4 linked regions of the Saccharomyces cerevisiae S288C genome follow. The main gene of each other region encodes a partner of the protein of the gene in region 3 in a complex. Each region holds a gene or a part of one and is shown on either strand. Other genes may lie near its edges.

Region 1 (3,943 bases), on a different chromosome or scaffold from region 3:
ATTGGCCTCTACTCAGCAACGTAAAAATAAGGATATTCCAGAGGGTGGCTCTAAAGGTGTCATCTTATTGAACCCAGGATTGGTAGAACATGACCAGACATTTGTCGCCTTTTCCCAATATGTGGATGCAATGATTGACATTCTAATCAACGATCCATTAAAGGAAAACTATGTCAACCTTTTACCAAAGGAGGAAATATTATTTTTTGGCCCAGATGAAGGAACTGCTGGTTTCGTGGATTGGGCAACTAACCATGCTCGTGTGAGGAACTGCCCATGGTGGAAATCATTTTTGACTGGAAAATCCCCATCTTTGGGTGGTATTCCCCATGACGAATATGGTATGACTTCTCTGGGTGTTCGTGCTTATGTTAATAAAATTTACGAAACTTTAAACTTGACAAATTCTACTGTTTACAAATTCCAAACTGGTGGTCCGGATGGTGATTTGGGATCCAATGAAATTCTTTTATCTTCGCCAAACGAATGTTATTTGGCAATTCTGGACGGTTCAGGTGTCCTGTGTGATCCTAAAGGTTTAGATAAAGATGAATTATGCCGCTTGGCACATGAAAGGAAAATGATTTCCGATTTCGACACTTCCAAATTATCAAACAACGGATTTTTTGTTTCTGTGGATGCAATGGATATCATGCTACCAAATGGTACAATTGTAGCTAACGGCACAACCTTCAGAAACACCTTTCATACTCAAATTTTCAAATTTGTGGATCATGTCGACATTTTTGTTCCATGCGGTGGTAGACCAAACTCAATTACTCTAAATAATCTACATTATTTTGTTGACGAAAAGACTGGGAAATGTAAAATTCCATATATTGTGGAGGGTGCCAATCTATTTATAACGCAACCTGCTAAAAATGCTTTGGAGGAACATGGCTGTATTCTGTTCAAAGATGCTTCTGCAAACAAAGGTGGTGTCACATCTTCATCAATGGAAGTGTTGGCCTCACTAGCGCTTAACGATAACGACTTCGTGCACAAATTTATTGGAGATGTTAGTGGTGAGAGGTCTGCGTTGTACAAGTCGTACGTTGTAGAAGTGCAGTCAAGAATTCAGAAAAATGCTGAATTAGAGTTTGGTCAGTTATGGAATTTGAATCAACTAAATGGAACCCACATTTCAGAAATTTCAAACCAATTGTCCTTCACTATAAACAAATTGAACGACGATCTAGTTGCTTCTCAAGAGTTGTGGCTCAATGATCTAAAATTAAGAAACTACCTATTGTTGGATAAAATAATTCCAAAAATTCTGATTGATGTTGCTGGGCCTCAGTCCGTATTGGAAAACATTCCAGAGAGCTATTTGAAAGTTCTTCTGTCGAGTTACTTATCAAGCACTTTTGTTTACCAGAACGGTATCGATGTTAACATTGGAAAATTCTTGGAATTTATTGGTGGGTTAAAAAGAGAAGCGGAGGCAAGTGCTTGAGCTTCAATAAAATTGTTTTGTATAAATTAGTTCTGCCGTCAGAAAAGAAAATTAAACATATGTGTATGTTCTTCTCAGCGTTTTATTGTGTACTAAGTAAAGTTGTTTATATGTCCATTATTTTTAATCTAAAAAAAGCATTTGATATTTTTTCCTTCGAGTTATCCATTATACTAGGCAGTTCTCCTCAGGGAGCCATGCTTCAGCTGAAACTTTAGGAAAGGCGCGCTACGCAGGAAGCGCTCTTATTAAAGGGTTTTTCAAATAAACTAAAAATGAATAACAACGATCGAAAATCAATAAAAACTGCAGGAGGCAGCATGTCACTTTCAAATAAGACTGTAAAGGAATTACGACAACTACTAAAGGAAAGGTACACCGTGGAAGATGAACTAACTGAATCTATAGCGCTATCAAGTATGCGATTCAAGCCGTCGCAAGAACCTGAATTTCATGCGCTAAGCCAATCTTCCTTGCTCAAAACTAAACTAAAACAACAAAGTAGTACAGATATTCCGAGTTACACCCACGTACTTATATCAAAATTATCATGTGAAAAGATCACCCATTATGCAGTTCGTGGAGGAAATATTGAAATCATGGGCATATTAATGGGGTTCACATTAAAAGATAATATTGTTGTAATGGATTGTTTCAATCTTCCCGTAGTAGGGACAGAAACTCGCGTAAATGCACAATTGGAGTCATACGAATATATGGTTCAATATATCGACGAGATGTATAATCATAATGACGGTGGTGATGGGCGAGATTACAAGGGCGCTAAACTGAATGTTGTTGGCTGGTTCCATTCACATCCTGGTTACGACTGTTGGTTAAGTAATATAGATATCCAAACCCAGGATTTGAACCAGAGATTCCAAGATCCATATGTCGCAATTGTGGTCGATCCCTTGAAAAGTCTGGAAGATAAAATTTTAAGAATGGGTGCATTTAGGACAATAGAAAGTAAAAGTGATGATAATAGTGCCACTTCATACTATGAACTAGAAACAATCATATTTGATTCAGAATTGAACCGAGCGCTATTTGAAACAAAGTTAAACTTACATTGCGTAATAGAGGATGATGAGTCAGAACAAATATCATTAAATAGATTGATCGATTCAATGAAGCAGTATAGCTATTTGATGGATTCCAAAAATGTTAGAACAAGGATTAAGTTGGCTACTACCAGTGAACGTGTTAGCAACGAAAATAAAAAAAACATTGACTATCAAAACCGTTCAACAAGGTCTCAGTTCTGCCTCAATACGCAAAGGGGGGATAGCACTGAAACAAGCTCCTTTGGAAGCATGTTTTCAGGTGATAATACTAGTGACGTAGATATGGAAGATAGAAACCTTACCGAGTTCGACAGTACTGACACTAGTCTGTGCATAAACGGCGAACCGAGCATTCATGTAAATCGCGTGGAAAGAAGCAGCAGGTCTACCGACAATTTTCACAATTCTAAAAAACGCATGAACAGCAATCAGGAAAGATGTCATGATGAGGGCAATGATATGTTACAGAGAAATGTCTTGGAGACAGATTATGCAAGAGCAAAAAATCGAATACTTGCGTCAAAGATAAAACAATATGAGCGGTTACGTTTTTACAAGGACACCTTTACATTATGAATTCCTAACGTTGCTCCAATGACGCTGCAATAGCTTATGTTTATCTGCAACGTACTTTTAATAGTTATTCCTTCTTGAATCTCTATAAGTATATCTATACCGGGTGACAATTTGATATTTTCGTACGCCGTTATGTGTTGGTTTTTGGTCTTACTGATAAAATGGCATCGAGCTTACAACTGAAGAGAAAGACGATGCATCAGTCAACTTAATTCTCTAATAAAACAGACAGCATTTCCTCGGATCCATTTCGTACATATAAAATCCGAAGCTTTTCAGGACAAAATACTATTTTTCTGTCACTACTAAACGGGATAGTACTAAACGGGATAGTAGAGATAGCTGCCAAATAAGATCAAGAAATTGTGATTTTAAATACTTTATACGAAGATGGTGTACACAGGATTTGGTTTGGAGCAGATAAGTCCAGCTCAAAAGAAACCTTATAATGAACTAACTCCGGAAGAACAGGGTGAACGGGGTGCTGAAATGATCATGAACTTCATGACTTCCTGTCCTGGAAAATCAGTTGTGAGTGGTGTAACAGGGTTTGCACTGGGTGGTGTTTTAGGCCTGTTCATGGCGTCAATGGCATATGATACACCTCTTCATACACCTACACCTGCAAATACAGCAGCAACTGCAACTGCGGGAAATATAGGTGTGGGTGGAATATCAAGAACAGTTCAGCAAATATCTGATTTACCTTTCCGGCAGCAAATGAAACTTCAATTTACCGATATGGGTAAAAAATCCTACTCTAGTGCTAAGAATTTTGGCTACATTGGTATGATATATGCTGGGGTGGAGTGTGTCATAGAGTCACTTAGAGCTAAAAATGATA
Region 2 (3,099 bases), on a different chromosome or scaffold from region 3:
GCATATTTGGCAATGAATAGTGCTAATGATTAGGTCATAAAAGCTATTTGTTAACAATGTTCTTGCTTCCTAAGACCTTACTTCATAGTATAAAAATTGGTAATAATGCTACAAAGAGTGCTATTTCGGTAACATCAAATATTTGTCAACAATACTCTATACATCACGAAGTCTACGGCAACTGCGCAATAACACAGTCAATAATTCTATAAATTAGCAGTTTATTGCAATCCCTATTCTTCGATATGCAGATAATAAGATCCGCTATGTCAGACCTTTTGATAGCGAGGATATGATCAAGTTTATAAGTCATACAAACATCCCATAAATTGGAAATACACTCTTCTCTGAACTCTAGAAAAGCATCACCCACTGGTAATACTCTTGGTGGCCCCATCATATTGTCATTAGGAAACAAAGAATGTCGTAATAATGAGAATAAGTTGCCAATTGTCACAGGGCTGGTAATTTTAGTTTGAACAATATTGTCAAATGTTCTATACATGACCCTGTTTAACGCATTTAATTTAGAGATCCAATGCTGAAGCGTTCTGCATATTGAGAATAGGAATGGCTTCCTCATAGATAATTTGAAAAAATCATCGGTGAAAAAAGTAAAAATATATCTTTGTAGAAATGCTGTTTCTTGAATTTCGGCAGTGTTCATATTTGCTGCTTCTGTTGAAGTTGAATAAGCTAAAAGCCTGGTCATTTGCAATATTTTGTGCTTTACATTGGAAACAAACAACCAGGGATCGCATTTAGGCTTTCCATGAGTCACCTCGTTTCTGGTATTTCCTGCAGAATTTAGCTTTATTCTTATGCAAATTTTATTCAAGCCCTCCAGAAGATAATATGGTTCCGCTATTGAATTAAAAATATGCCCGAACACAAGTTCATTTAAAAAGCTATCCAAAAAGCTTCTCTGTAGTAGAGATTTGGTGCTCATTTTACTTTGTATGATTTCAGTGAATAGCATTGGATATCGTTTCGAATCATACAAAGTTAGCTTACAGTACTGTTCATAAACTAAATCGTTATTTTGAGATGAGTCATTTAATGCTTTCAAGTGAGACGAAAGCAAGCAGGGAATATAATCGAGTAAAAGGGCATGGTAATTGATTTTGGAACTCTTCAAATATGTTATTAAATCTTGAACTAAGTTATATAGTTCGGTTAAAAACTTGGAATCATCAGTGGGTATTTTGATACCATACCAAGACTTAACGAAATTTTGGAAAATTAAGGCAATAAAGGTATTTACCTGTAGGTCTGGCAAAGCTTCTATGCTTCTGATTTTCTGATGTAATGAATTTGGGTATATAGAGAAACATAAATCCCTTAGATACTCAACCGAATCTTTTTCAAATTCACTCTCAAACGAAACATCATTACCAGAATTTTTCGTATGACTACAATCTTTCTCCCAAATATCTCCACTCGATTTAGAATTCAGTCGTGTATGTCCTTTTTTTGACAGAAAGCCTTTATATTGATTTGAGGCATTTGGCCTTCGGTACTTGGTAATTAAACTGGAATTGGTGTTGTATAAAATGGTAGGCATCTACACATATAGAAATAAAGCCGTGCAGTATATATTGACTTCCCTGGCTCTTATCGCGTTTGCTTTTTCTTATATTATTGTTATCTTGCCTTTGGTTCGTTGTATCTTAGGGAATGCGAAAATTATTGAGCAACTCATCATCAACTTTTTTAATATGTATTTATATTACGGACAATAGTAAACAAAGAAATAAAAAACAATAACAGTGATGACCTACGTAGTACAGATAAGAGAGAATGGTAATGAGGGAAGAAACAATAAAATCGCTAGAAGATCCTTACAAATATCACTACAAAGAAGAATGGTTAAATACTAAAGATCCCGATGAACAACAATTATTCGAAATATTTGCCTTTGGAAACATTAAAGATCTACCGGAAAACATAATCCTAACATCATTAATGCGATCAAAACTGGAGAAATTAACATTGGTAACATTAAGCGAAATATATAATGAGTTAAGTTACGAGTTAATTAAAGAAGAATGTCAAATTGAAGACGATGGTATCATCGAAAGCCATTTAATTCAGCTACAGAATATTTTTAAAGCAGAGATGGATTCAGTCAGTAAATCTATGAAATTTTCAAGAAGATTTGACTGTAGAGATGTGTACTGTCATGAAAAGGAACTGACTATAATTAAAAATCCGCGAGTGACGAAAGAGTATTTAGTTCAAAATCTTCGGAGCTGGGAAACAAAGCTCAAACAGAATATATTGGAGTAAATCAAATATGAAAAAGGCATAATAATGACGATATTAGGAAGTAACAAATAAATAAAAGAAAAATAGAAGAATAAATAATAATAAATAAATACTAGTAAATATGGCAAAGGAATATACCGGCGGAAAACAAGGTAAAAGCAAAAGATAGGAGACACGTCGTTGCTATAGATGTGCATGTTACATGACCGAACAAATGATTCGTGGTGATTTATCTACTTCTTGGCTTCAATCTTTTGACTGTTGTCTTTCTCGGAAGAATCCCATAGACTTTTTACTAAACCAACAACACCATCATTCTCGGTTTCTAGTTTATAGATTCCAAAAAGGGAGACCGCAGAACCAAGGCCCAACATATACATGGCGTACTTGTGCCAAACACCATAAACTCTTTCAGAAATATAATCGGTGATACAAGAGTTAAATTCCATGTAACAATATCCCAAAAGCATGACAGAAAAGAAAGAATCAGCTGCAGTGGATAACGGACCGGTTGTCAGCATAGCCGTCGTAGCCAATGGAACGACGGACAAGGCAAAGATTTTTTCCATATACCAGTGGTATGAGCCCTCTAATTTATTCTCAGGGGGGGGGACGTAGGCATCATTGGGAGTGCCCCTAACACCACCTGGTTTCTGGGGTAATACGGGCAAAAATGGGATAGTTAAGCTCTTCTTAGCGGTAGACTGGAAGGCCCTTACTGTGGCAGTATGGAAAATTCTCCTTCCAGTCATAAATTTCATGGATCTTGGCAACATCATAGCTATTATAAAGCGCGTAGGAAGAAAGTCGAAAGCGTAGGAAAGATCAAGA
Region 3 (3,441 bases):
AAACACCAAGGTCTCTTATGCCTTGACATAAAGAATACGGAATAGAATGATTGTAGACGCAACAAGATGAATAATTAATGGCAAATTATTATCCTATTAGATATAAATTACAGTCGCTTTAATGCGTGATTATAGAAAAGGTCCTTACAATATGCAGCCGGGTAAAGAGTGAAGTTTCCCGCCTCTGAAAAAGAGCAATACTAAAATAATCTGAAAAGAATTGGTGAAAAGAAAGCTGTAGTTATATATACAGAATGGGCATAGTTTTGAAAAGAGCAATAGCAGCAGGTATGAAACCTTTTCCAAACAGTACGTGGCATTGGAGCCGAACCATAAGACCTTTCTCACAGCATTTGTCTAGCACATGCTTTCTGCAGCAATCCTCGAGATTTACTTCAAAACGATACCTACACCTTTCAACATTAACACAACAAGAAAAGCGCTTCCTACCCGAATCTGAACTTGCTAAATATAAGGAATACTACCAGGGTTTGAAGAGCACTGTAAATGAAATACCTGAATCAGTGGCCTCTAAGTCACCTTCGTTAAGAACGCTTCATAAGAGATTACAATTACCTAATGAGTTGACCTATTCAACACTTTCCAGATGCTTAACGTGTCCCTCTGCAAAACTACCCGACAAGATAAATAATCCTACAAAAGGTGCAGCTTTCGTTAATACTGTACCTACTAATAAATACTTGGACAACCACGGTTTAAACATCATGGGAAAGAACTTGCTCTCTTACCACGTTACAAAATCCATTATACAGAAATATCCGAGACTACCCACTGTGGTTTTGAATGCTGCGGTTAACGCATATATATCAGAGGCGGTACTGGCGCACATTGCTAAATACTGGGGTATTGAAGTAGAAACTACGTCTGTTTTATCACGCTATTTGAAAATGGAACCATTCGAATTCACTTTGGGAAGACTCAAATTCTTTAATAATTCATTGAACTCTAAGGACGGTATTGAGCTAATCACCGGAAAGAACTTTTCAGAAACAAGCGCTCTTGCAATGAGCGTGAGGAGTATAATAGCTGCCATCTGGGCAGTAACGGAGCAAAAAGATTCTCAAGCTGTTTACAGATTTATTGATGATCATATAATGAGCAGGAAATTGGATATCACGAAAATGTTCCAGTTTGAACAACCTACAAGAGAATTGGCTATGCTATGTCGTAGAGAGGGGCTGGAGAAACCTGTATCGAAACTGGTCGCTGAGTCTGGTAGACTATCGAAATCACCTGTCTTTATTGTGCATGTATTTTCAGGCGAAGAGACATTAGGTGAAGGTTATGGTTCCTCATTAAAGGAGGCAAAAGCAAGAGCCGCTACTGATGCTTTGATGAAATGGTATTGCTACGAGCCTCTTGCTCAACAGGAACCAGTTATTGATCCTGGCACTGTTGTTGTTTAGTTCTGTGTTTGCCATTTTGTAGATAGAGAACTCCTTAACCAGAATACATTCTTGTACATATATATATACACGTTGGTACGATATGCGTTTACTTTATGTGTACTAAAATATATAAAAGTGAACAGAAGCATGTTCCTTGTTTACTACTATATCTTACCAGGAAACAGACAAAAAAAAAAAAGACTTGCTATATTTAAAGAGAACGCACATTTGTGAGGGGATAATAACACAAAGCAAAGTAATATAGGGTAAATGGACCTCCTAAAATTCAGTTCTCTAGCTATATCAGAAATTAACTTCCTGCACGAGTCATCGTTTGACTCGATAGACCACTCTTGGTTTTTATTGATAGGTTGCAAATTGGATCAAGATGATGAAATTTACATCCCAATAAATGGTAATGAAGCAGAGTCTCAATGGTATATTGAAAAAGTTATACGAATCCCGATGCAGGAAAATGATAAAATAAATCAAGAACGCCTAGAAAGGAGAATTAACCTAACAAAAGTGACTCAAAAGGACATTTGTATACTGGGTATTCTTGATTTATGTCAGTTAGAAGAGGACGAAAATATCACTAATAAAGTGACGGAGAAAGTGCTCACCCAATTGACCGCCTTGGCATTGAAATATCTGATAAAATATAACGTGTTTCGCCAACATACCTCCTTCCAAGAAGCTGTCAATAGTTTAAAGGGTTATAAAATTGAAAATAGTGTACAGATAGGCGCGGAAATTATCCTTGATTTTCTACAAGATAAAGTGCAAATTAAGGATGTAAATGACAGATACCAAATTCCCACACCTAATAATACCGTAGACCCAGGTTTTGATGAGTTTCAATTAATTGACATGAAGGATAAAGAAATCAATATTCAAAAATATAATAATAATACCATAAGAAAATTACTCGAGAAGATTAATCGAATGATAATATTCTTGAAAAATTATGATGCCACTGACAAGCCTTTCTCTTCCACGCAAGATGTAATACTTCGAAAAATATCAATGCTTGTAACACAACTGCAAAGAGGTGGAACAAGTGACATGAATTACCTGCTGGATAACAAAATTAATGAAATAAAATTATTAGAAATTTCGTGTAAACAATGGGAAATTTCAAATATGTTAAAAAAATAACTAGAATATATATATTACACAGAATTATTTTCTTCACTTCCTCCGTCATCAGATTAGTAGCTTCCTAATACCTGTCACAACTTCCCATTTATTCGTGTGTTTGTTGTATGTACAACCCAGCAGCTTTTTATTGGTAACGGGACAATGGCCTTCATTATTAACCAAATAGCTTATGGCACACGGGTAGCATGCCACGTATCCTGTTTCCAATACACAGGGGTTTTGTACAGTTTTTTCGCAAACGGGACAGGCCTCAGAAACTCCCTCTTTATCTTCCGTTTTGTCACTATGTGAGGAGAAAGGCGGCCTTGGAATATCTTCATCCAAGTCATTGACCCTTTTCTGCAATTTAGTAGTCATGTCTTGTGTGGTCCACCATTGGTACACTCTTAGGACAAATATAAAAGTGGGGAAGAATTGCGAACCCATAAATGTTAAAAATCTGGGTATAATCGATAATTGTCCTTGCATTAGCGCGAAAATTGACGATATATTTGTTTTCCTTAGCCTATTATCCATCCCTTTCGTCTCTTTGAGACCAGAGAGTTCTGACGATAGTGGTCTTACCGTTGTGTACTCTATCTTGAATAAGTATTGCAACAAGGAAACCGACCCTGTTCTTTTAGTTAAAAATAATAATTTAACGAGTAAATTGGATAACGCTAATAATTTCTTAATAAATGGATAAATTCTTAGAAACGCTCTCTTGGGCCATTTATTTTCAGTTTCATCGCTGCTGAATATATTATTCATTGATATTTTCTCTAATATTTCATCCAACTTCGCTGTGATATAGGGGAGAATAATTTTTTCCAAAAAAATAACACTCTTTTGCTGTTGATTCAGCTGCAAACCTTGGGGCCATTCACTCTGG
Region 4 (4,778 bases), on a different chromosome or scaffold from region 3:
TCATAGAATAAGATGCTAAATATGTAGCGCATGAAGTTAGGGAACTTTCTGCAAAAGAAGCGCCTATTGCGACGAACAAGAATTTTCCTTCCAAAAAATATCTCCAATTGAACACAGAGGAAATGTACCACTTTGCTACTTCCGCCTTGGATTTGAATGGTTGAACGACCGGTTTAGTTCTTTCTCTAGCCAAAACTGAAGCACAAATGAGGCATGTTAAACAAATGAATGATAGGATTCTAATGGCCCATTGAAAGCCCACTTCTTTATATAACTTTCTCAGCATAATAGGGAAAACTATACCCCCTATTGAACCCCCCATGGTACTTATAGATGTTGCTATACCCCTTCTTTTTAAAAACCAGGTTGCAACAGTTCCTATCAGAGGAGTCATTAAAATTCCCGTCCCAAGTCCAGAGCACACAGAAAATGCCAAAATGAACTGCCATACGGACTTACAATTTGCCAATGCGAATAGTCCTCCAGCATATATGACTGTACCTGTGCACATCAAACCAATACTACCATTTCTATCAAAATAGCCACCGGATAATATACAGCTTAAAAAGCTGATAGCTAAGTATAGGGAAAAAATCCAAGATATTGTTGAAGAAGATATATTTGCCAATTGATGTTTAGAGATATATGATTCAATAGCCCCTAAGGAGTTGATTAAGCCAAAAACCGGGACCAGTCCCATAAACGCACCAAATACTACCAGCCATGCTTTTAACCCACCATCTGGGAACTCTCTGTCATCATCATAAATCAAAGAGGCCTCTGGGGTGTTTAAAACTCTTGAGGTGACGTTCGTTAACTTATTAACGTCAAGATCTACTTGATCGCTGTTCTTTTTCAAAATCGCGTCCGCTGCATTGAAGTTTGGATTATATCCTGAACTTGGGCCCTCCCTTGTCTCCAGCTCCACATCGTGATCTCTCGTAGATTGCGCTTCGTGATCCTTTGAGAACAGGAACCTCTTGGAGTTAGCAATTATGGGAATGTTCAACATCCTCCGTTTGTTAAGTTTATGAAAAGCTCTTTCAATATGGTTACAAATAAAACAGAATCAATACTTTCGAGGTTATTTGCCGTGTGCCAAGGAATATTTTCCTTCTCTGAAATAGGCCTTTTGTTATATTTTAGATTCGCCTGTGACTCTTTGCCATCTCGCCTGTTAATTACCGCTCATAGGCACGGCTGACTAATTTGAAGCTATCGAAATTGCTATAAAAGGAAAACTCTCTTATCATCAAGATCAGGCGGATCTCCTGAGTTTCTGACCTATAGAGCCCCAAAAAATGGGATGACATGTACATATATAGTGGTCAACGTTAATATGAGTGGCCTCCCAATGGTACAGATGAAAGAAAAATTTGTTTTTGGCTGTACGGAATTGCTTCGTATAGAAGAAGGTCTTATCTTTCATACGTGCTTTTATGTACTGGTTCTTGCATCCAATCATCCTTATTAGTGTTTTCGTGCGGTCAATATAGCTCATTATGGAGTCGTTTATAATAAATTGACTACCCGCTGGAGGTTTGAGTTTTTTCTTTCTAAAAGACATTCAAGATCATACGGGGGGTAGACAACTCAGCCGTTTCCGGTAGTTATAGTCCATCAAGTGTTACCATAATACGACTGTAAAATTAGCCAATTCCTCGATGTCAAACATCCATTTATATACTGAGAAAATCTTTTATAGATGCCGCTTTTACTGCGACTAGAATTTCATCTATCGCACAATAGAACGTTTTCTTCTAGGTTACTTGCTTTAGATAACTAATTCCTCGAAAGCAGTGACAGTGATCTTACACTTTCTGGATTTCATTATGGGAATGTCGAGTTTGAGATTCGAGTTTTATATGATGGCAACAAGATTGCACAAACTTACTTTCTTACCTTTTTCAAATTTGATCTCTTAATACACACTAAGTATATAATGAGTATAACATTTGTGCATGTATGAGAGTAGTGGCCCATATATGATAACACTGGCGAAAGTACTCTGTAGCTAAATGCCAGGTTGGCACGTTTTTCTCGTTTGCCCAAAGTGCAGCTCCTTTTCGAAGAAATTTATCTGGTCCTCGCTGAAAAATATTATAAGGGGAGCTGGATCAATTGTTTTGTGATCTCTTTGACTAAATGAACTATTGAAACGTTTGACGCGGTAAAAGGCAAAAAGGTTCACTATACACAAAATGTCTGATGAAGATAACAATTATGACGACTTCATGTTATCGGATGACGAAGGCATGGAGTCAATTGAAATGGAGGAAGAAACCGATGATGAAGACAAACAAAACATTGAAATAAATGAAGACAATAGTCAGGATGATCAAGATCGAGGAGCGGCACGACATAAGCAACATGAACAAGGCACCTTCGAGAAACATGACAGAGTAGAAGATATTTGTGAAAGAATCTTTGAGCAAGGCCAAGCTCTCAAAGAAGACGAACGATATAAAGAGGCTCGCGATTTATTTTTAAAGATATATTACAAGGAAGAATTTTCATCTGACGAAAGTATAGAAAGGCTCATGACATGGAAATTTAAATCACTTATTGAGATATTACGTTTAAGAGCCCTACAACTCTATTTTCAGAAAAACGGTGCACAGGATTTAGTTCTACAAATTTTAGAAGACACGGCAACTATGTCGGTTTTTTTACAAAGAATAGACTTTCAAATTGATGGAAATATATTTGAATTACTTTCTGATACTTTTGAGGTATTGGCACCCAAGTGGGAAAGAGTATTCTTGTTCGACATCGAGAAAGTTGATAGGGAAAATATGATCTGCAAAATTGATTTCCAAAAAAACTTCATGGATCAGTTTCAATGGATTTTAAGAAAGCCTGGCAAGGATTGTAAACTCCAAAATCTCCAGCGTATAATTAGAAAAAAGATATTTATTGCCGTTGTTTGGTATCAAAGGTTAACCATGGGGAATGTATTCACCCCGGAAATTTCTTCCCAAATAGAGATTCTTGTGAAAGATAATGAATGCTCTTCTTTTGAGGAAAATAATGATTTGGAAAGTGTATCTATGTTACTGCAGTATTACATATTGGAGTATATGAACACTGCACGAATAAACAATAGAAGGTTGTTTAAGAAGTGCATTGACTTTTTTGAAATGTTGATATCTAAGTCGCTTACTTTCTCACAAGAATCTGGACTGATGGTAATATTATATACCTCTAAGATTGTATTCATTTTAGACTCTGATTCAGAGAATGATTTATCCTTTGCGCTGATGAGATATTATGATCGGAAAGAAGAGCTAAAAAATATGTTCCTCTATATCTTGAAACACTTGGAAGAGATGGGAAAACTTCGGGAGAGGGATATTACCTCTTTGTTTCACAAGTTCATTCTTAGCGGCTTCATTTTCACGAGCATGATTCTAGAAGCAATTAGCACAGACAAGATTAATCCTTTTGGTTTCGAACAAGTGAAGATTGCGCTAGGCAGCCCTATTGTTAACGTATTAGAAGATGTCTACAGGTGCTTCGCACAACTGGAACTAAGACAGCTGAATGCAAGTATATCTCTTATTCCTGAATTGTCCGTAGTACTAAGTGGAATTATTCAAGATATTTACTATCTGGCGCAGACATTAAAGTTGTGGAGAAAAATTGCACGATTATACTCCTGTATCTCCATAAGTGACATTATAAGTATGCTGCAAATAAGTGATGACAATGAAATGACAAGAGATGATTTGCTAACAATTTTAATGAGGTCAATAATGAAAAATAGATCGGTTGTGTATTTTAAGTTAGATTTGACAAGTGATTTAGTCTATTTCGGAGACGAGAATAAAGTCATGCTACCGAGATGTTCTAAAGAAGAATTTCGTCTTATGATCTCTCCCAAGGATGAAGAAACCACTGAAAAGGCCAGGCTAATAGATTTTGAGTACGTTAACGATGTCGCGATTTATAATAACCCAACAAGAATAAGAACCAAATCCTCTAAAGAATTTTTCAATACATTAAGAAAATCTAGGGAAACTGTAAAATTACCGAGGGTAAGCAACCAGTCGAATGAAGATACTTTTCTACCATCGTATATGAAGTTTTCCAACAAGTACCTCGAGCTGTGCAAACTGGCCTCTAACAATCTGGAATAGAATGTCGATCAGGCACGTTCGTGTAAACATTACGATTTTGGAATTCCACTTACATAAGATAGCTTCTTTGTAAAAGCCGTTCGAAGATTTCGTTTATAGTGATGCTTTTTCTGGAGAGATTTAAGATAATAAGGATATGTGGAAGGAAATGAAAATGTACACCTACAAAGCGTTGATGGTATGGAAACTATCGACCATAGTTTGTTAAACAGGAAATATTTGCTTGAGGGTAAAGTGTTCTGATTCATTATACAAAGCCCCTTGCTTATAAGAAAAGAAACCAAATCAGAAAAGGAGATTATTTCAAGGTAGGCATCGAAATGGCAAGTAACCAGCACATAGGAGCTTCAAACCTAAATGAGAATGAGGCTATATTAACCAACCGCGTTGCTGAGCTGGAAAGGCGTATGTCGATGTTTGAGGGTATATTTCACGCGTTAAGTAACCGTCTCGATCTTCACTTTAAAAAATATGATGTAGTGGTAAACTCCCAACAGCAACAAATCAACGAACTGACCGCGTTTTTATCAACATTGCTGAATGACCAACAACGCCACGCTGAAATTCTCAGTGAAAAATTAAGCGGAACGTTGCATGGGGTGTCAGCTACGTCAATATCCTTAAGCCAAACTCTTGACC

The links.
Region 1: CSI1 (region 3) and RRI1 share a complex: the UniProt entries of both Saccharomyces cerevisiae proteins name them as parts of the COP9 signalosome-like (CSN) complex.
Region 2: CSI1 (region 3) and CSN9 share a complex: the UniProt entries of both Saccharomyces cerevisiae proteins name them as parts of the COP9 signalosome-like (CSN) complex.
Region 4: CSI1 (region 3) and RRI2 share a complex: the UniProt entries of both Saccharomyces cerevisiae proteins name them as parts of the COP9 signalosome-like (CSN) complex.

What each region holds. Positions count from the first base shown.
Region 1 is NC_001136.10:68,153-72,095, reverse strand, and holds RRI1 (COP9 signalosome catalytic subunit RRI1), read left to right. Parts: upstream 1-1,776; coding exon 1,777-3,099; downstream 3,100-3,943. Other genes in the region: GDH2 (glutamate dehydrogenase (NAD(+))), read left to right, coding at 1-1,456; translocation channel protein TIM22, read left to right, coding at 3,490-3,943. UniProt on the Saccharomyces cerevisiae protein: Catalytic component of the COP9 signalosome (CSN) complex that acts as an regulator of the ubiquitin (Ubl) conjugation pathway by mediating the deneddylation of the cullin subunit of SCF-type E3 ubiquitin-protein ligase complexes.
Region 2 is NC_001136.10:817,898-820,996, reverse strand, and holds CSN9 (Csn9p), read left to right. Parts: upstream 1-1,800; coding exon 1,801-2,289; downstream 2,290-3,099. Other genes in the region: NVJ3 (Nvj3p), read right to left, coding at 173-1,564; succinate dehydrogenase membrane anchor subunit SDH4, read right to left, coding at 2,502-3,047. UniProt on the Saccharomyces cerevisiae protein: Component of the COP9 signalosome (CSN) complex that acts as a regulator of the ubiquitin (Ubl) conjugation pathway by mediating the deneddylation of the cullin subunit of SCF-type E3 ubiquitin-protein ligase complexes.
Region 3 is NC_001145.3:321,621-325,061, forward strand, and holds CSI1 (Csi1p), read left to right. Parts: upstream 1-1,679; coding exon 1,680-2,567; downstream 2,568-3,441. Other genes in the region: mitochondrial 54S ribosomal protein mL44 MRPL3, read left to right, coding at 255-1,427; PEX12 (ubiquitin-protein ligase peroxin 12), read right to left, coding at 2,616-3,441. UniProt on the Saccharomyces cerevisiae protein: Component of the COP9 signalosome (CSN) complex that acts as an regulator of the ubiquitin (Ubl) conjugation pathway by mediating the deneddylation of the cullin subunit of SCF-type E3 ubiquitin-protein ligase complexes The CSN complex is involved in the regulation of the mating pheromone response.
Region 4 is NC_001147.6:95,350-100,127, forward strand, and holds RRI2 (Rri2p), read left to right. Parts: upstream 1-2,201; coding exon 2,202-4,139; downstream 4,140-4,778. Other genes in the region: MCH4 (Mch4p), read right to left, coding at 1-1,012; YOL118C (uncharacterized protein), read right to left, coding at 1,259-1,567; MSN1 (Msn1p), read left to right, coding at 4,460-4,778. UniProt on the Saccharomyces cerevisiae protein: Component of the COP9 signalosome (CSN) complex that acts as an regulator of the ubiquitin (Ubl) conjugation pathway by mediating the deneddylation of the cullin subunit of SCF-type E3 ubiquitin-protein ligase complexes.